Linked DNA regions of Mus musculus: all the other regions are reported to be linked to region 2. Evidence: microRNA targets listed by miRTarBase, many of them from high-throughput screens and not tested one by one. Region 2 holds a microRNA gene; each other region holds the end of a gene's coding sequence.

The links. Region 2 holds the annotated microRNA mmu-miR-132-3p (UAACAGUCUACAGCCAUGGUCG, at 3,285-3,306, shown strand). A microRNA usually pairs through its seed, bases 2 to 8, with sites in the 3' UTR of a target mRNA and lowers its output. Matches are read on the target gene's strand: a 7mer-m8 pairs with bases 2 to 8, a 7mer-A1 pairs with bases 2 to 7 and ends in A, and an 8mer does both.
Region 1: the mRNA of Foxo3 is a reported target of mmu-miR-132-3p. The part of its 3' UTR that is shown has no 7-base or 8-base seed match.
Region 3: the mRNA of Zyg11b is a reported target of mmu-miR-132-3p. The part of its 3' UTR that is shown has no 7-base or 8-base seed match.
Region 4: the mRNA of Rgs7bp is a reported target of mmu-miR-132-3p. Seed matches in the 3' UTR shown: 7mer-m8 at 2,233-2,239, 7mer-A1 at 2,476-2,482 and 8mer at 2,986-2,993.
Region 5: the mRNA of Slc11a2 is a reported target of mmu-miR-132-3p. The part of its 3' UTR that is shown has no 7-base or 8-base seed match.

What each region holds. Positions count from the first base shown.
Region 1 is chr10:42,193,234-42,197,233 of GRCm38, reverse strand. Foxo3 (forkhead box O3) reads left to right here. Exons shown (of 4, transcript NM_001376967.1): 3 at 1-768. The coding sequence ends at 733. Among named protein-coding and RNA genes, the nearest start is that of Gm38485, 80 kb to the left of the region's middle.
Region 2 is chr11:75,170,439-75,175,135 of GRCm38, forward strand. Mir132 (microRNA 132) reads left to right here and starts at 3,244; the gene lies at 3,244-3,309. Mir212 (microRNA 212) reads left to right here and starts at 2,950; the gene lies at 2,950-3,040.
Region 3 is chr4:108,232,697-108,236,696 of GRCm38, forward strand. Zyg11b (zyg-ll family member B, cell cycle regulator) reads right to left here. Exons shown (of 14, transcript NM_001033634.3): 14 at 1-3,498. The coding sequence ends at 3,308. Among named protein-coding and RNA genes, the nearest start is that of Zyg11a, 17 kb to the left of the region's middle.
Region 4 is chr13:104,948,170-104,952,169 of GRCm38, reverse strand. Rgs7bp (regulator of G-protein signalling 7 binding protein) reads left to right here. Exons shown (of 6, transcript NM_029879.2): 6 at 588-4,000. The coding sequence ends at 679. Among named protein-coding and RNA genes, the nearest start is that of Gm41048, 35 kb to the right of the region's middle.
Region 5 is chr15:100,385,508-100,389,507 of GRCm38, forward strand. Slc11a2 (solute carrier family 11 (proton-coupled divalent metal ion transporters), member 2) reads right to left here. Exons shown (of 17, transcript NM_008732.2): 17 at 2,391-3,654. The coding sequence ends at 3,577. Among named protein-coding and RNA genes, the nearest start is that of Higd1c, 23 kb to the left of the region's middle.

The DNA of each region.
Region 1 (4,000 bases), not on the chromosome of region 2:
CAACAGTACCGTGTTTGGACCTTCGTCTCTGAACTCCTTGCGTCAGTCACCCATGCAGACTATCCAGGAGAACAGACCAGCCACCTTCTCTTCCGTGTCACACTACGGCAACCAGACACTCCAAGACCTGCTTGCTTCAGACTCACTCAGCCACAGCGACGTCATGATGACCCAGTCGGACCCCTTGATGTCTCAGGCTAGCACCGCCGTGTCCGCCCAGAATGCCCGCCGGAACGTGATGCTTCGCAACGATCCAATGATGTCCTTTGCTGCCCAGCCTACCCAGGGGAGTTTGGTCAATCAGAACTTGCTCCACCACCAGCACCAAACCCAGGGCGCTCTTGGTGGCAGCCGTGCCTTGTCAAATTCTGTCAGCAACATGGGCTTGAGTGACTCCAGCAGCCTTGGCTCAGCCAAACACCAGCAGCAGTCTCCCGCCAGCCAGTCTATGCAAACCCTCTCGGACTCTCTCTCAGGCTCCTCACTGTATTCAGCTAGTGCAAACCTTCCCGTCATGGGCCACGATAAGTTCCCCAGTGACTTGGACCTGGACATGTTCAATGGGAGCTTGGAATGTGACATGGAGTCCATCATCCGTAGTGAACTCATGGATGCTGACGGGTTGGATTTTAACTTTGACTCCCTCATCTCCACACAGAACGTTGTTGGTTTGAATGTGGGGAACTTCACTGGTGCTAAGCAGGCCTCATCTCAAAGCTGGGTACCAGGCTGAAGGATCACTGAGGAAAGGGGAAATGGGCAAAGCAGGTTAGTGCGCCACAATGCAATGGGAAAGCATCGCCGGTGGGCGGGGCGGGGGGGGGGCGGGGGAATGGGGGGGGTGACTCCTATCCTGACAGCGCATGCAGCAGTCAGGACTCCCAGCCGGTTCATCAGAGTTTTACCTGTAAACAAGACAGGGCTCACAGCTGTCAGTAATAAAAAGAACACCCAAATATTCAAAAAGCTCACTCTTTATGTCCTCTGTTGTCACTATGAGGCAGGTTCTCCTACCCTCTGTGTGTGGGTGGATAAGAGAAGGAAAGGGGAGGAAGGTCAAAGGTCACAGGGAAACACACCAGCCCGAGGAGTTTCTTAAAAAGGCTCACATCTAGCGCTGGTTTAATCTCTTGTGTGATGGTTCTTCACCCCCTAGGAAAGTAGTGTTTTGCGCTAGGAAAGTGTTAATGGCATGTTCTTAGATCACTACCTCGTTGATAGCAGAGACCCTTTGCAGAAAGGACACGAGAGATTGTGGGAAGAGTTTAGAACCAGCTGGTGCTGTGATGTCAAAAGCAATGGACTTGGGCAGTTGGGACACACCTATAGTCCCAGCACTTGCAGGTGGCGAGGCTACATAGTGAGGCCCTGAAGGTCCAGTCAGCTCCTGAGTGTCTGTCTGTCTGTCTGTCTCTCTTTCTCTCTCTCTGTTTATACAGTGGGATTAGTGGTCCTACCAGTCCATAGAGCTACTGTAAGAGTCAGATGCACAGAAGAGTGTGAAAGAGTTTTGTAAAACTTCACCAGGTCGGACGTACCAAGGGCAGTTGAGTGAGTGTACTGACTGACAGATGAGCAAGCCGGGAACCACAGAGGTTAAATACTTTGCCCAGGTCACACAGTTTGTCCCAGAGACTACACGTCTTAAGTGGCTTGATTCCTATTTTCTGTAAATGGTTTTTTAAAAGGCACTGTGGACTGAGCCAGCCTGAACTCTTCTCCTGCCTTGGGGAGGGGAGGCTGGCTGTTTATGCCAGCTGGTTTGTCTCAGTGTGGCTTCACATACCCGGGGTTGAAAGGCTCTGCACCCTCAGCTCCCATTTTCTTCTGTTTTTAATTTCAATCTCAGCAAGCTGCTTACCTCCTCCTTCAAGCTGCACAAAAGAGAAAAGGAACCCAGAGCCCTAAGCCCCACCCAGCCTTGTTAGCCCTCCTCCCTGGTGCAGGCATCATAAGGGTCTGCTAGAGCAAGCGAGCGCCTGAGCTCACTGAAGCCCTCCTGGTAGCTGTCCAGGGGAGTGTCAGAGCATCCCTGGGCTAAGCATCTCAATGTTCCCAGGCCCAAGAGGGCTCCTGGTGGACGCCCAGACCTCGCTGTAGTCCTTAGTAGCTTGGAGCCAGGAGAAGACCATAGTGAAAGCTGAGTAGCATGACCTTGCCAGCCGGTTACTCCCGGACCTGTTGGGTCATGGCGATTGACTTTAGAGATGTAGGTACATTCTGAGGTTTATCTCCAGTGAGGAAGACTGTGGTTGTGGTTTCTGACATGAGAATGTTGAATTTGTCATTGTAAGTAGAGACCACTTCCCTGTTCACCAAACCTGCGAAAATGTCCTATCAGCTTTTGTCTGTTTCAGTTGGATGTTCCTGGTTAAACAGCATGCTGTGTGTGTGTGTGTGTGTGTGTGTGTGTGTGTGTGTTGGTGTTGTGTTTATCAAAGTTATATGGAAATCTATTAAGGGAGATTTAAATATATAATAGCCTTCAATTTTATTAGTGCTAAACTTAGCACTAATAAACTTAGCTTGTTTCCACTTTATTAAAGGCAGACTCTCAGCCTCACCTTCCCTGACGAGTGTCCCCAGCCCCAGAGCCCCATCCTTCTGGTTTGCCGCTGCCTTGGTATTTCTCCAGACTGGTTTGCAGTGTGCTGACCCAAGGTCATGTGGCCCCATTGAGGCTAAAAGGAGCAGCCCTGGCCAGGTGACATTTTACTGAAGAACCTCTGTGACAGGCTCTGGAGATCTGGGAGTCTGATGTGTAGCTGTGTGTTGGTAGCGTCACGTCCTGGGTGGGTAGCGCCCCATCCTTCACCCATGCTTGTGGACTTTTCCATGTACAGGAGCGGGAGACGGGACTTGGTGGCTGTAGTCTGGGCTTTCAGTGAGCCCTCTTAAGCTTGACAAGACCCATGCCGGATGACTTAGCATGCCTTAGCATGCTGGAATTTCTTGGTCATCCCTGCCTACAATCTCACTGTTACACATTTTCCACTTGTTTTTACTATGAGCATAAAAATAAGGTCCTGCTACTTCAGGAGCTCCAAAGGTCAAAGGTCAGGCTGAACTCAGATGCCAGCTTCTTGTTAACTATCCAGCAAGACCTCTCCTTTAGTTCGTGCCTGTCTTCAAGGGCCAGTTTCTCAGATGAGCACCCACCTCAGCACATTGTCTCTGGGCTCTACTCTGAGGGGACCTGCAGGTGAAAACACCTCTGCAGCTCACCCAGAGTTGCACAGGGTCCCTGTGGCGGAAAAACTGAGCTTCGCAGATGGGTCTGTGGGATGGTGTCCTGCTATTTGTCTCTGAGTCTCTCCAGGCTTACTTACACAGAGGGACAAACGTTTACACCTCCCCTGCAGAGCCCCCCTTTTGTAAGAACGTGTGGGGCACGATGTTTTCTCCCATGATCCCGTAATCTCATGGCAGACCACAGTCAGCCTTACACTGTTTGCAGAAGGCAGCTGCTTTCCTTGACAACCAACTCTAGTTTAGGTTTCTTTTCATGCCTTCTGGGGCTTTGCACTCAAAGTCCTGCTTGCCATTTGGGGAGTACACATTAGAGAGGCTGTCAAAGAGAGATTCTGCCGCATGGGCTGGTAAGGTTTGGAGCCTTACCAAAGTGTTCCTTTAGCATCTCTGAAGCTGGGCAGTGGTGGCACACGCCTTTATTTAATCCCAGCACTTGGGAGGCAGAGGCAGGCGAATTTCTGAGTTCACTACAAAGTGAGTTCCAGGACAGCCAGGACTATAACAGAGAAACTCTGTTTCAAAAAACCAAAAGAAAAAAGAAAGAAAGCATCTCTGAAGGGGGCTGCGGTCGGGCTTCACTGTGGGAGAAGCCTTGCCTCCCATTGTTTCGGAAGCCAGAGCCAACCTGAGCTATTCCACTGTTGTAGGAAAGAAACCTGGCTCTTCCGTCCTGACAGGCACCCACGGTCTGACCTCTAAGGGCTGGTGGTCGCTTGTTTTGCATAACACGAAGACAGGAAATCCAGTC
Region 2 (4,697 bases):
ACTATGGTAACCAATGAGGTTCCCGGGATCTCATCTCTCAGAGGCCTTGGAGAGCTTAGCAACCGCGCGGGGCGCAGGGCGGGTGGGGGCTACGCTCGCCGCACCCCACGCTGTCTTCGAGCCCCCACTCCCCCGCTTGAGGTAGTGGCTGAGTCACTCGCCCGGGGCAGCCGGCCGGGCCTCTAGCTGTACCAGTGAGACACCAAGGTCTTGGGCGCCTCCTAGAGGCTGCGTTTCTTTGGCAGGAGACTTCTATGCCTGGCCTAGGCTTCTGGTCCAAAGAGTCTTCAAGGCTCACCAGGTTTCCGCGACAGTGTGCTCCGCCTCCATCTAATCCACTTACTACTTCGTATCTCCGTACAGTGTCCATACAAGACAAACACTGCAGTCCCACGGTGGACTCCACAATTTCTGAGCTCTAGGAGAAGTGAAGAGGTACCTTGGTATCTCTGTCGAGGGATACGCCTTGGGGCTGAAGCGGAAGTGTAACGGAGCGTTTGAGGATAAGAAGGCTCCCCAGAAGTGCTCTTAGGGATGAGTTTTGACAACTCTGAGTTCTCCCACAAGCAAGGGTGTCTCTGATGTCTCTGTTTTAAATGTTTTCTCCTTTTAATGGGGTTAGATCGTGCGAGTCTGGAGAGAAAGCTCTGTATGTGTTTTACACAATGGAGTTTATCCGCTGGTTGACCCATAAGGAGGTCGGCTGGGTCTTCAGTTCCTTCTTGTTCTATCCCTCTCCACCGACTCAAGCCCTTGTTGTATCGCTATGGGGCCAACCACATAAACCTTGCCCAAGTTTCACTGTGTACTCCCCTCCCCTCCCCTCCCCTTCTCTCCTCTCCTCTCCTCCACGCCCCACCACCACCACCACCACAGTTTCAAGTCTACGGCTAGCCTCGAACTCACAAAGGCGTCTACTTCCCACGTACAAGGATGCGCACCACCATGCCCCTCCTCTTAACTTTGCTTTCCCCTTCTTCCTGAGCTCCTCTGGTCATCCTGGTGCAGCTTCCTCCTCTCCGTGAACGCATGACGACCCCATTTAGAGCCCGGAGACAGAATCGGGCTGTTTTGGAGGACCTGTTCCATATCGTATTTGCCTTTAGTCTATTCTGACTCCTTTAGAAAGGAGTCCCAGCTACACACACCCTCTGCCAAGCTATTGAGCCCCCTTAGTCTCATTTTCTCTCTTACAGGCTCTGCCTATGCCTATTCCACCCCACTGAGGTGGCCCCCTCGTGCCCCCTGGGGCACTGCCAAGTTGGCTCTCCAGTACTTGTCAGGCTAGCCCTTCCTTTTGTGGATACTCCGTACAGGGATTTTCCAAACTCTTACAGAAGATCTTCTGCTCATTTCTAAAGTCCAGACCACTCTCCTTAGACTCCCTGATCTTCTCTGCGGTTTCCACCATCTGACCGGTACCTTTCCTCCTGTGACCCAGTCAAGAAGCCTTCCAAAACTCCCAGGCTTCTCCACCCCTCTTTCCCCAGCTCCTAGATGTCAAAGTCCGAGGTGCACTCTACTCCCCTCCTAAACCGGTCCAGTTTCTTGCCTCACCCCCCACCCCCCCCCCACACACACACCAGGAGAGAGCGAGGATACCACGGTGGCCAAATGGGAGTGATACCATCGCGGGGCATCTTCTGGCGTCAGAGGACTGTAGGGTCTAGGGAATGAGCAGTGTGGTTTGGGGCTGCCAAGGGAGGACCCCTGCGGTCCAGGAGAAAAGAACTGAGATCCTAGGACTCGCAAAGCCCCGGAAGGGGAGAGTGAATAAACACAGAACGGGGCCTCACCCTCCCTGCACTATTCTCCCCCAGCCCGTCGCCTGCAGTTCCGGAAAGTTAACCCCTTGGAGGCCAAGCCTGGGGTTACGTACTCCCCTACCCAACCCTGCTTCCGCGTGCGCACCCTCCTCCCGCTCCAACTCCCTGTCGCTTCGTCCCGCCCTCCCCTACGCCCCCCCTCCCCGCTTGCCACTATAAATAGCCTCTTTTCCCGTTTCCTAAATTCTCTGCTGACGTCGGCAGCGCGTCAGTGTGTAGGAGCCGCGGCCGCATGAATGAGCCGCCGCACGAGTACTACGCGCGCCTATAAAAGCGGCGGCGCCGGCCGGGCTGCGGGAGGCAAGCCGGCACTGGTGCGACGCGGCCCGACAGGTAAGGACCACCAACAGTCGGAGATGGGCAGATGCGCGGACGCCATGGGAAGGCGAGGAGGGGACCGGAGGGGCGGCGGGTTGGAGGGGGACTCCGGAGTGAGGATGGGGGGCAGAGTGGGAGGGACGAAGGTTCCTTTCAGCTTGGTGGACCAGGGGCCGGCGGCTGACCCAACCCTATGCAGCACCTGCCGGCACCCAAATGCAGACGCAGACACTATGGAGAAACATCAAGCGGAGAGCCGAGCCCCCGACCCCATTTCCCGAGGCTGAGCAGCTCCTGCGCCATCCTTTCAAGAAAGTGGGGAGAAGGTGCTGGCGTCTCAGGAGACGCGCCCCCTCATTTCTCCCCTGTCCGCAGAGCGGTGACTCAGCCTAGATGGCCCCGACTGACTGAGCCAGGGCGCCCACGACAGACAGACGCACACCTCGGCCCTGCGGCTTTCTTGGGACCCCCGTCCTGCATGCTCCACACACGCCCCTTCCCTGTCCCGTCCCTTCCCGTCCGGTCCCGTCCCGTCCCATCGGACTGTCCCACTGAGCTCAGGACTTCCCGCCTCTGCAAGCGGAGCTGTCCTCTCAGGACCAGGCGGGGGCGGGGCTTCGATCAGGCCGCCCCGCCCTACCCCCACCGCTCCCCACCGCCGGAAATGCCTCCCCGCTGGGACATCTTTGACGTCACAGGACTCTGACGTCACGGTCGCGTGTCTGTCCGCGCGCGCTTGGGAGGAGGTGGGGGGGCCTGAGAAGCAGCAGCACTCTCAACTGCGGGCGACGGGATATCCCCGCCCGGGCAGCGCGCCGGCACCTTGGCTCTAGACTGCTTACTGCCCGGGCCGCCTTCAGTAACAGTCTCCAGTCACGGCCACCGACGCCTGGCCCCGCCCCAGGACCGCCGACCCCCGGCCCCTCCACGCCTCCCTGCGCCGCTGTCCGCGGTGCTGATGCAGTGCAAGCGCCTCCCTCGGGCACGCCTGTTCAAGGTCCCTGTGGGTTGCGGTGGGCGCAGGCCCCGCAGACACTCGCGCCACCCCCGCCGCCCGCGGTGCTGACGTCAGCCTGCAAGCCCCGCCCCCGCGTCTCCAGGGCAACCGTGGCTTTCGATTGTTACTGTGGGAACCGGAGGTAACAGTCTACAGCCATGGTCGCCCCGCAGCACGCCCACGCTCCCCACCACTCCCGAGTTCTGCCAGCCTGGGTTTGGGCAGATACAGAGCAAGAGGAGGCGGGGCGGCGACGCAACATTCGATGTGTCTGCGGAGGTGGCAAGAGGTGTGCTCAGAAAGGCGGCCTTTCAGGCTGCTGTGCATCTACCTCGGTGCAGAAGCAAGATCCGCGGAGTGTCTGAACATCCTCCTCAGAGACTCTCCTGTCTTCCTAGTCGAGGTATCGCTGCCTAAGGTGGCGAGAAAATGGGTGGTTCTGCGATAAGGATTCTTATCTCATGAGTGGTGAACCGATGGGATCAGGAGTCCTGTGAGAAGGAAGAAGTCACTTTTGCCAGCAGAAAGCTGAAGGGGGAGGAGAAGGAAGTTTTATCACACCTTTCTTCCAGAAAACCCTAGGTGAGCAGGTAGAGGGGAAAGGGCAAAGAATCCCTTTCCTGATAGAGCCATAACTCTGTCCCCCAACTTTCTCCTGGGCCATCATTAAAAGGGTCCTTAACACAGCAAGAAGCTGGCAGGCTAGTGAAATTCACCTGGCCCCTAATTCATTGTCTGAAGGTATCAGCCAGCAGTCTTCCCTCAACTGGTCTGTAAGTAATGCATCCCAACTTGAGATCTTCAAACGTGCCCCCAAAAGGAGTACAACCACAGAGACTGCACGTAAATACTCTCTGTGGCTAGGGCTGTTGAGAGACTCTGTCTGATAGGGTAGAAATCCTGAGTGTAATCAAGATGCAGAAAACAAATAGCAGGGATAATTTGAAAAGAGGACAGCCGGACAGTGGTGGCGCACGCCTTTATTCCCAGCACTCGGGAGGCAGAGACAGGCAGATTTCTGAGTTCGAGGCCAGCCTGGTCTACAAAGTGAGTTCCAGGACAGCCAGGGCTATACAGAGAAGCCCTGTCGTCTCGAAAAAAACCAAAAAAAAAAAAAAAAAAAAAAAAAAAAAAAAAAAGAAAAAAGAAAAAAAGAAAAGAGGACCTTTTGCAGATGGAACCCATCAGAAGATGTGGTTAGAAGGTTGACTATATAATGCTTTGAGTGTTCGTTGTCCTAGAAAACATTTAGTGTAAACCATGCCTTCTTTCCCAACTTTACACATTAGAAAGCAGAAGCCCAGGTTGGGCATTTAGCCTATAGAGAGCGGTAGTTTTTGCTTGCTTTTTACTGGACAGCAGAAAGACCAACCAAAACCAGGAGCTGCAGTGTATACCTGCAGTCCCAGTTGCTCAGGAGCCTAGACAATAAATATGAGATAAATATGAGATTCGTGTCTCAAAGGGGGGGGGGATGATGACAACAGACAAGAATATGGGGCTTTTGAGTCTGAATCATCCAATTTTGAGTAAGGTACTTAGCCTTTCTGTGCCTG
Region 3 (4,000 bases), not on the chromosome of region 2:
AGCCCCTATTCTTGATTTATGGTTTTATTGATAACTTAAAAAAGAAAACATTAAATATCATCTTTTCCTTTTCTGATAGTAGGAGTTGAAATCGGTGTGCTTCCCTCCAGTACTGAGCTGAGTTGCACTCTCAACCCAGAAGGAAAACAAACTTCAGAGTACAGAGACCATGGCAAAAACATATTCAGTACACAAAACCCAGATGCTTTGATATCTATATTTTGCTTTATTCGACTCCAGTCTTACAAAGTCTCATAATTCTGTTTCCTCTCTGGCAGGAACTGAACCTGGGTCCTTGTGCATGTGTTTCTTCCAGCAGATCCAAGTCTTGCTACTCCTGACCCTATGGCTGGTGTCTGAGCATACTGATGAGTTAGTTCAACAAGGCCATTCAGGTCAGTCTAAACTATGCCTGAAAGCACACCACTAGGCCAGTGGCTTTGGAAGTACCAACCAATTACAAATGGGAGGCCTGTAGAAGCTGGCTGGACATTCGTAATTTATAAATACACATATGTATTTACTACATTTTAGCTTTAATCCCAGCACTCTGGAAGCTCTGAGTTTGAGGCCAGCCTAGTTTACAGAGGGAGTTCTAGGACAGCCAGGACTACACAGAAAAACCCTGTCTGGAAAAACAAAAACAAACAAAACAAAGCAAGAGCTATCCCTTAGCCAGACATGGTAGCACATGTGTGGAATCCTACCACTCACTCAGGAATGTCAACTGAATGAGATCAATATAGACTACAGCCTTGGGTCTACACATGGTGAGACTCAAAAACAAAAATAAAACACGGGCACTAATAGCTTGATTTACTTGGGATACAATCTGTCACTTTGAGTTTGTGGGCTTTTGTTTTTAAGTTTTGTTTGTTTGTTTGTTTTGGGGCAATCTAGCCCTGACTGGCCTGGAGAATATAAATTGAATTGGTTTTGAGCCTTCATGTATCAGGTTATTCTCAATCACTCTGTAGACCTTTTGACCATTTCTGTCTGGTTCTGCTTCTCCAGATAGGATATCAGGTAACCAAACGTTGGTTCTGAATTTGCTACGCAGCTGCTAATACTGGGATTACAGGTGAACTCTACCACACCTGACTTATTTTTCTGAAACTTTGTAAAAGGTTAGCAATAGCCTATAGCACATGTACTTTGGTCATGACACTTGGAGCCAAAGTTCTCAACTATTTCACAAGTGTACTTTGTAAGCTTGGCAAATCAACACCACAAGCTTGCTAGTTATTGTAGACTACATCATATTATCAGAACTTTGTCTTAGACGTTAAAATTGAGGGGGAAATGTCAACAAAAAGCAAAAACTACTCCTTTGAAAGAATTTTCTTTTTTCCAAATGTGTTTAACTATGAAAAAGACATCTTTTGAGATGGAGGCTGCTGAGACAAGCATCACTAGGTAGCCCAGGCTAGTCTCAGAATGGCAATCTTGTCTCCAGTGGTGAATCTGAGCAACCATCTTGGGTAAAAATGTATCGTATAGCTCTTAAAATTCCTTGAACCAATGAAGTAAGAAATAAACCATAGTTTTATATGGCTTTTTGATAATTCTATGTGTCTGTTTTCTTTCAGTTTGATTCAGTATTTGTCCTTATAAAGGAAGCCTGAAACATTCAAGTCCAAGGAGTGTGACAGTAGTATGAAACATGAGTCAGACATGGTAAAAGCATACTAGCAATAAGCTTGCTGGTCACTCTTTATAGTCCAGGCTGGTTCAGAACTCATATTCCTCTCACCTTTGTCTTCTATGCACTAGGGTACAGGTGCACACTCAGATGCACAGCTTAATCTAGCTCCTTTCTAAACTGAAACATTCCTGACTTACTTTAAAACTACGGAAAACATTTGAGACATGTATGAATGTGGTCAGAAGAGATTTCAGATTAAACCTATTTACAAAACAAGATGTGAGCATCCTGGTTTGTTTTGAGATGGGCTCTTGCTGTCTAGTCCATGCTGGCCCTGAAAGCCACCTGTTCCTTAGTGTTTTGAATTAAGGGCAAGTGCCACCAAGACCCCCTTAAAATATTTGTTTTGTTTCGTGAGAAAGGGTCTTTCCCATGTAGCCCAGGCTGGCTTGCAACTCTGTGGTCTCCAACTGTAGTTCCTTCTGTCTCATCCTTGCTATTACTGGATTATAAATCTGAATTATTCCCAACTTAAAATTATAGTGGAATTTAAGTTTGTTGCTAACTTGCTGCCTCCCGGGTTCATAGGATGATAACTGATTCTTCATATATCAATTATCTTATAGGAAAGGCAACTGCCTAAAAACTAACCGATCAAAACCATTTCCTTTTATTCAGCCGACTCCACAGGTAGCCATCCAGCCGCAGCCGCAGCAGTAGCCCACTCTTCTCTTGAGCTTTTTCTAACATGAACACATAATGAGGATCCACTACATGTCACTCTAACCCAGGCTGGCCTCAAACTCACAGCACTACTCCTGCTCAGTTTCCTGAGTGTTGAGATTGCAGGCATGAGCCATTTATGCCTGACAGATACACATATTTGAACAGAAGAAACATTCAACTTTTTGTTGTGTGTGGTGCTGGGTATTCAATTCCTACATTCCAAGAACATACTCTACCACTGAGCCACACCCCAACTCAAGTTTAAATTTTTGCAACAAATTTTCTGTCAATTGTATTTTAACTAAGCAACTTAACTCTATTCCACTGAGTAAGTAGCAGAGGGACACCAGGAGAGCCTTTTCCATTTTCAGAGCTCTACCACAAAAGCAATTTCTAATTCCCTTCAACTCGGTCCTTTCACGGTCTTTCTTTTATGTTCCTTTGATTGCTACTCAGGCTCCTGACAGCAAGAAGCTTCTAGAAACACAACAGCTTTCATCACACAAAGAAGGGCATCATGGGAAGGCAACAGAGAATGGGTGCATTTTTACAGAGCAATATAAAATTACATCGAGGTGGAGCTGAAGTCAAGTCAGCAGCCTTGCTCACCTGCAAGGAAGCCTGCGGAAGAGTGCGTGCAGCTTACCGTGAAACTGTAGAATTTCAAGCACAAGTTAAGTTCAAACACTGAGAGAGAGATTCCCTAAGAGACAATATTGAAGGAAGACCTTTCTTGCCTCATAAGTTAAAAATCACAAAACAAATCAGACTGTTCACATGGGCAGTACTGTACATTACCAATTCCAAATGGATCACAGGACTCTTACCACAGACACCCCCCACCCCGCCCCAAACACCAGAGAGCACGCTAATCCAAAGGAACCAACCACAAAAATGCTTCCCGTTGTCTGTTCGTTACACAACTATCTATGGCTATCAATTCAGCCGGGCCTGGGGCTGCTTTTTACAGGGAGGGGGCCTTCCATGGCGCACAATGTGTTTCTCTAAACTGTCCAGAATGGCCACAGCAATCTGCTGGACATAGGGATCTGTCTGCTCGTGTTCTTTGATGTTATACAAATGCTGCAGTCCTCCTTCTTCAATCAGCATGCTGCAATACCTTGAAGCTAAAAGAAAAGAAAAATGTCTTAATGTTATTCCACAAACAAAACAAGTCTTCAGAGCTTAAAACAAAACTGCAAAAACACATCAAAGGCCATGCATGGTAGTGCATGAAGCAAATCCACACAGTAAGACCCTGCCTCCACAAAACAAAACAAACAACCCTTGAACCAGGTGTCTCTCATCATCTCCACTTTATTCCCTTGAATTCAGGAATCTTTTTAAAAAGGTGTTTTATATATGTATGTCTGTGTACCCCTTGCATACCAGAGCCCAGAAAAGGGTATCAAATCCCCTGGAACTGGATTTTTAGATGGTTAATCCTGAATTCGAATCCTAGAACCCACATATAAAAGCATGGCCATGTGTATCTGTAACCCAGCATTATGGGACAGAGAAACAAAGGTCTAGGAAGTCCTTGGACAGGAAACTTCTGGTTCAGTGGGAGTAAGGCATAAGGCAGTGGAGGAAGACTCCACTGGGCATCGACTGTGCCCACAAAGCCAT
Region 4 (4,000 bases), not on the chromosome of region 2:
TCGGCTGCCATCAGAGTGAGCTGCTTTTAAGTATTTCATTTCATCTTCACTTATGGTAAGCATCATCATTCCCTATTAGTTTTGAATGTTCACTTAGGGGCATCAGAGTTTAGTGAGGTTGAGTGACAGATGAGGGTCACAGAAGGAGGGCTTAGAAGACAAGACAAGTCTCCTGGGAAGTGGATTGTTTCTATGAAGATGTTTGCAACCTCTCCCAACTGAAAGGCTGTCTTGAGCAGTTTCAATTTAATTAGCTAGTGACTGTCAGTCTTGGAGTGTTTTGTCCCAGGCCACATTTGGAAAGATCTGGGAATGCCTCTGGTTGTACCTAGTGAAGGCCAGGGACACTGATGAAGTCCTTCATTGGGGTAGAAGGGGGTACTGGGGGAGGGGGTTTCTTCTAACAACAAACGGTTAATGAAGTCTTCTGATGCTTGAGATAGCCTCCCACAACACAGCATTATCTAGTCCAGTGTAGCTGAGGTTTAAAATGGGACAGACAGGATGATGGCGTTTTAAGCCCACTTCATAACGAGCAGGTTACTTTGTCTGTAACTCACTCCTGTGCACACTGTGTCCCACCACAGATGACAGCAGCCTTCTGAATCTAACGCCCTACCCCATGGTCAGAAGACGGAAGAGAAGGTTCTTCGGCTTATGTTGTCTTGTCTCAAGCTAGGTGGCTTCCCCGGAAACTCACCGCCAAGATCACCTGAGAAACACCACAGAACCGTAAGACCTCCACACCGCGGAACACCGAGACCGGTTTTGACCATGTTTTCTATGCTCCCTTGTTACTTTTATCTGCCTCTCCCTGCCATTTTAAATGATTTCACACTTGAAAGCAGCTGCCATCAAGGAAAAGAGAAAGAAAGAAAGAAAGAAAGAAAGAAAGAAAGAAAGAAAGAAAGAAAGAAAGAAAGAAAGAAAGAAAGGAAGGAAGGAAGGAAGGAAGGAAGGAAGAAAGAAAGAACAGATTCAAAGAGGTGCAGCCTGTTTTTAAAGGGAGTTTTAAAAAGTTGACATTGTGCATGTCTGCTCTGAACCATGCCGTGACAGATGCAAGAAATTTGATTTTTAAATTATTTAAAGGTTTTTTAAAAATGTATTATACAGAAAATTATTTCACATATAATAGTATATCTGTAACTCTTGCTGATATCATGTTAACGATTTATCGGATATAAAAGATGTCTCTAAATATAGAAATCTATTTAAAACAGCAAAACTGTTCAAGAATCCAATCTATGAGTATCATTAGAAATATTATAACCAAACACACGCCACCTCACGCGTTGCTGTCTCTGCACTCATTTCCATTTAGTCTTCCATTCTGTCAGAATCGCTAAGTATCAACATCAGAACATCTTAATTTATAATGCAACAGAGTCATATATGAAAAATACATTTTGTAAATACACAGTAATCCTACTATCTTCAAACAATGCATATGGGTAGCTAACTTTCTTTTAATCCAATGGTGTCTTTTTAAGCTTCTTGGGAAATGAAGTTATCCGGTTAAGAAATGATGTAGTAGCATAAACAATTACCCTCAGATGTAAAATTCAATATTATCACATTTTGTTTGAATTGAAACCTGAAGCATGGGTCCACACATCAGCATAGTGTTAAATCTTATAGGGCATGCTGGAATTAGCTCAGATCATAAAACTATTTAACATTTTACATTATTAATGAAAAAAGATGTTTTAGTTAAGCTTAGCTTGTCTCATTTTAGATGACTATGCAGATATGACTTTTCCAATGTGTATTCTGTGTCCTGTCTTATGCTTGGACTCTCGAGAACGGGACACATTAAGCAATACTGTATTTTAGAAAAGAGGGAGCCACACGCTGTGTTGTTCTGCTCATGGCTCTGCTGCGCTCTTTTCCCACGAACTTGTAATATGCTACAAATCCTGTTTTATTTCCTCCTGTCCTTCCTTTGACCCTTCCCCCCACCCCCAATGAAATTTCCCAGGAGTCTTTGCACTTTTGTTCCCTGTTCTGACAGATCTCCGAGTCAGACCAGAGGCACAGGTGTCCAATCTTAAGAGGGACAGACTAGCTGCCTGCAAGTGGCTTTAATCCCAGCCTTGGGGAGGCACTTATTTGTACATTAATATTCTGGCCTAAAAACTAAATACTTTTAAAGCCTTTCACTTTATGGAAGATGGAGAGAGCATGGACAATTGTTGTATTAGGTTGAATTCTATGAAATGGCTGATATTTGACTGTTTTGATCTATATTTTTAAAACCAGCAATTTCACATAGTTCAACCTAAAATCTGCAAAGAAACAGCTCTTGGAATTTTCTCCTATATTTATGTATCAAAAGTGAAAGAATTCTGGGATGGAAGAGATCTCCAAAGTCTATGATTGGTCTTCATTTCAATTCCACTAGTTGCTGTCGACCATATTCTTGGTACCCCACCCCCACCCCTTACTATGCTGCACTAAGCTGGTAGCTAATGTACTGTTACTAGTAAGACTGGATTCAGTGAGAGAAGGACTTTTGACAAGTTATATGAGACAATTATAACTTTCTGAATGGAATGTTCATGAAACAATGGAAAGAATTATTTAAAGACTCCTCACAAGGAACTATTCCCAACTCTCCTATCCTGCCATCTTGAATAAAGCCTACTCTTCTCTCCTGGTTGCAGGTCATTTCAAGTTAGTTAAGTTCCAAGGTTATCTCATTTCTCATTTATGAGCTATTATTTCTAAATTGGCATGATCTCGGCTCCTGTCTCTGTTGTTTCCCACACTCTGACTGGATTGAACGCTTAGCTTCAGCCTCATTCCTAGCAATCCATGCAAATGGACTAACTGACAAGCCTGGGGTGCGGGGCACGCTCTTGTGGATGCCCGACCTAAACCTCTGACCTAAACCTCTCCTGCTTCTTTCATTTGTCCCAGCTCTCTCCTTAGTCTCAGCGTGACGACAACACCTTCTGTGCAATTGTCCTTTGTACAACTGAAGACTGTTAAAAAAAAAAAAAAATTCAGGTCTCACCTCCATGTCTGAGAAGGCCGTGAGAGCTATTCATGGAGATGGGAATTTGTCTAATTACCTAGCCAGACTTTGCATATCTGAGGTAATAAAGTCGACCACCTTATGTTTTATTCAGTGCCTGGTTTCCAGCCATTGCTCAATTTTATAGTTCCCATAGATAGATATACTCCAAGATCTATGGATGTTCTTTCAGTAGCAGGTCCGAAAGCAGCATTAACAATCAAGGTTCTGGTACCTGTGCGGGCTCATGGTTGCCTTGGGCAACTCACCACCTCCCCTTTTAATTTAACTTGTTTTAGAAGAGTTAAGACCCTGGAGGATATGCCAAGTGCATCCTCTAGGATGCCCCTCTCTCCTCTAACCTGCCAAAGGACTTCCTTAGGTGTGGGTCCACCAGATAAAGTTCTGCTCCCTCCCTCTGCTCCTTGCAGGAAATGGTCTTTGCCCTCAACAGAAGCATCCAGCTGATCTGTAAGGGTCTGAGGAAAACGCTGAATATTCTCTCACAAACCCATGTGTACAAACAGGAAAAAAGGCCTCTCATTTTATCGCCATACTTTTTATATTCTATTTTAGGTTTTCCTGCAAATTATAATGAATATATGGTTTTTTTTTATCTTTTTGTGGGAAATCTGAAAAACATCCCCACGTATAAAGAAAGCAAACATCACCTGAACTTTACAGCAAATGTATTGTTTAAAATCACATTTCCCGGCTCTAAATCAGTTGGGGCTGAGCTCAAAGACTCTTTTGGGAAAGACAACATGAAGTAACCTTCAGGCCAAAGTATCTCTTTAAAGTCTGACCACTGATGTTTGGTGTCTAGACTCAGACTCATTGCAAACTGCCCGGTGTGCCACTCATTAAAGGGGTACAAAGCAAGCTGGAGAAGCAGCAGGGTCCTAATTGGTTTTGGGGGCGGGGGGTGGGGGTGGGGAGTCCCAAACTCCGCCCAACGGGTTGTGTTCCTTCCTACTCTTG
Region 5 (4,000 bases), not on the chromosome of region 2:
GCCTCACTTGGTACCATCCACCATGGGGCAAGAGTCCCTCAGTAGAAGTGCTAGCTAGCCCCATGTCTTTGAACTATACTGTGAGCTAAATACACTTCTTTTCTGATAAAGTACCCTGTTCTTGGGTATTTTAAGAAACAGATTAATACTGCTCTATAATGCCACTATATACAGAAGCCCAGACTTGTTACCATATAGTAGAAAATTATGATTGTTACTGGTTCATTGTTTTGGGTATTTTGCGTGCGCTCATGCAAGAAGCTACCAGAGGGCACTGGATTCCCTGGGTCTGGAGTCACTGATGTGAGTTGCCCCGAGGGTGCTGGGAGTGGCCAGTGCTCTTACCCACTGAGTAACCTCTCTAGTCCCTTGTGCCCTAAGACCAAGATCTTGGCATGTGGCCCAAACTGGCCTTGATTTTGAGATCCTCCTGGCTCAGCCTCCAATCGTCTGAATAACAAAGATCGCCATGCCCAAGCTGAATGTTTTGTTAAAGTTATACTTTTAACGACTTGTGCATGTATGTACGGGTGTACAGGAGCCGCAGCATGCGTAGAGATCAGACATTTTGTGAGTTGCTTTTCTCCACCCTGGGGTTCTCTGGGATGGAACTCAGGTCATTAGGCCTGGTGGCAGGTGAATTTAATTACCTCCTGAGCTATCTTGCCAGCACCATTAACATTTTTTGACTTCTTTTTTGCTTTTTTTTTTAATGTGTATGTTCTGTCTGCATGTATGTTTGTGTACCACATGCATGTCTGGTGCCTGAAGAGTTCAGAAGAAGCATCAAATCGCAGGATTTTTAACTGGACACAAAGCCAAGGGTGAGCCTGGTCTTTCTGATCCTCTTAGCTCTCTCTCCAGTGTTGGAACGCTGGCGCGCACCACAGGCCTCATTACCACCACCACCCCCTTTTTTTTCTTCAGTGTTGGGTTGAATCAAGGGTTTCATGAATGCTAGCCAAAGTTCATACTTGTTCTTAATGGCATAAAGCTTAACCAAGGCTCACTCTTTAGACGTCAATCTTTCAATGGATTTGGTATGTATTATACTTTCTGCTGACAAGAAGCTGTGAGGCCTCGGGGAGATGATACCTGTGAATGTGTGGCATCTTATCTCTGTTCCTACCTGCACCCAGAGGAAGCGCAGAGAGGAGCTACAGAAAGCCTTGAGAGTTCTTGACCTCTCTCATCTGCCTCACCTTTGTATGAATCGCAAAACAGGATGCTTCTGTCTTCAGTCTTTCTTCTCCCACATAATCTCCCAGGGAAAGAAGTACTGAGAAACAGAAGTGGAGGGTCGGGTGGGTGTACAAGAAATGGGTTCATCTGGGACTGTGACGGGTCTTCACCAAACCGAAACACAGGGACTTCGGTAACCGAAGCTCAGCCCAGCTGCTGCTGCTTCTGTCTGTTAAGGTCAGAACTGTGACCTAGGCTACAAGGCTGTTCTAAGTCTTCAGTGGCCTTGTGGCCAAGCAGAACTGAGCACACTTTCAACCCCAGCTCTTGGGGGCTAGGCAGGAGGATCTCTAAGTCTGAGGCTAGCCTGGTCTACATAACAAGTTCTAGGTAAGCCCTGGGCTGGAGAGATGGCTCAGCAGTCCAGAGCACCGACTGTTCTTCCAAAGGTCCTGATTCAATTCCCAGCAACCACATTACAACCATCTGTAATGAGAGCTGATGCCCTCTTCTGGCGTGTCTGAATATACTCATATAAATTAAATAAAATCTTTAAAAAATAAAATTAAAAAAAAATTTTTAAAGGCCCCAAGGTGGACGTGAAGAAGCTGTAAAGGGTGAATTTAGCAAATGCCCTCGCAAGCTGGGAGGTGGTGGCTCCCACCCTTAAATCCAGCACTCAAGGCAGAGGCAGGTGGATCTGAGTCTAAGGTTGGTCTGGTCTACAGAGTGAGTTCCAGGACGGCCAGGGCTACACAGAGAAACCCTGTCCTAGAAAACCAAACCAAACAAAACAAAAAGAGTAATGTCTGATCTCTCTGTTTCTACATTTAATGCTGAAAGATGAATGTGACATTTAAAGTCACACATAGCCTATGGGGTTTACAGACTCAGAGCCTAGAGAGCAAAAAAGTAAAGAAGAATATGAAGGCCCTGTGCCCGATAAGCCGTGTGCCCCTGGGGCACACATGGCAATGACAGTGGGCAGCTATGATTCAGTTCTAGCCTGCTGTATTGTCTACTGTACTGCCAGGTAGGAACGCAGGTCAAGTGCTGTAACTGATTAACTGATTCCCTAAGAAGACAGTTAGAGTATGAGTGTGTGCGTTTGTGTGTTCAGGAGTGCCTGTGTGTGTGTGTGTGTGTGTGTGTGTGTGTGGTGGGCAAGCAAAGAGCTCTACAAATGAGTCGCACCCCTAGACAAAAGCTTTTAGCTATTAAGCATGAACTTTATTATAACAAGGATGATTATTTCTGGTTGGGATTAAAGCAAAAACCAAAAAGCTTCACTACCTGCACACGCGCGTTTGGAGTGTCGGTGCTTAAAGTGAAACTGATGGTCTGTGTTCCCATCGAGTGCGAGCCTCAGACCTCTGCTAACACACACCTTAAAATGCTTAAATTCCTCAGGACACTCAGCGGTACACATACGGGCGGCCCTTAGAGACAGGGTGAGGACAGTGTGTGGAGTGTCAGCGCGTAGAGTGGGAAGAAAGGGCAGGTGGACAGACACCAACGGAACAACAGCCACAGACACACTTGATGTAGAGACAAAGGGGGAAAGTTGGTAAAGTACCTGCTGTCCAGGAAGACCTGAGTTTGGGTCCCCAGCACTGTGTAAAATCTGGGCGTAGCAGCTGATCTGGGACCACAGTGTTGGGGCGCGAGGCCAGGAGGATCCTTGAACTTACTGGCTGGCTAGCTCAGTCACACACTGAACTCCATGTTCAGAGAGAGACTGGAGACACCTGATGCCAACCCGTGGCCCCCACAAGCAGAAGCAGGCAGGCACTCGCGCACGCACACACACACACACACACACACACACACACACACACACACACACACACACTGTGGTAGAGACTGGAGACACCTGATGCCAACCCGTGGCCCCCACAAGCAGAAGCAGGCAGGCACGCGCGCGCGCACACACACACACACACACACACACACACACACTGTGGTAAAGCAGCGCTTCAAGAGTTATTTTGGGGAAGTTCATCGTCAGAAAGGTCCCTTTCTCATTTGTTACCCAAATAGAACAAAGACCTAACTCACCTGAAAGGCATTTGTAAAAATCTATCAAGTTTTATAACCTTAAAATCTTACCCAAACTGGCACGTTTGGGTTCACATAAATACATATCGATACACTTTAAACCCCAGAAGTGCAGACACAAGCCTGAGGGACTGCACAGCTGCCACAGGCCCACTGCCTCCGAAGGGTCTCTGACCCATACGCAACTGTCAGCTTTTACCCTGAGTCCGTGAGGAGAACTTCTCCTTTGTTCAAAAACCTTTGAACAAGCTCACCTCCGAACTAAGGGATTTGCTAACAGGCACTTGGCCCGAAAGGGCTTAGAGAAAGTGTTCTTAAGGTCTCCTGGGCTGTTAGTCATCTGGACACCACTGAGTCAGCATCCACGGTGTTCAGAAGATAGAGTTCAGGCTGAGCGGTCAGTCCCAGGCGGTACTGAGGGAGGACAAAAGCACAGGGAGACAGTTAGTGTCACTAGCAAGGAATTACACTGTGGACGTACACATTATTTTGGCCTCTTTGCTCAGTACAATTGAATTTTATTTCAGAATAGAAAATGGTGTTATGTGAGGTTCTTATTTAAGATCATGGACACTTTTTAGATTTTTATTTTAGGTACATCAGTGTATGTAGTGTGCACACGTCTGCTGCCCACAGGGGTCAGAGGGAGGCACTGGATCCCCTGGGATTGGACCTAGAGAGGGCGTGTGGAGGTCAGCCACACAGCAGCCAAGCAACCCTGAGGTAGAGAGAGCACTCTAGAGAAAGGCTGCAGCCTGGA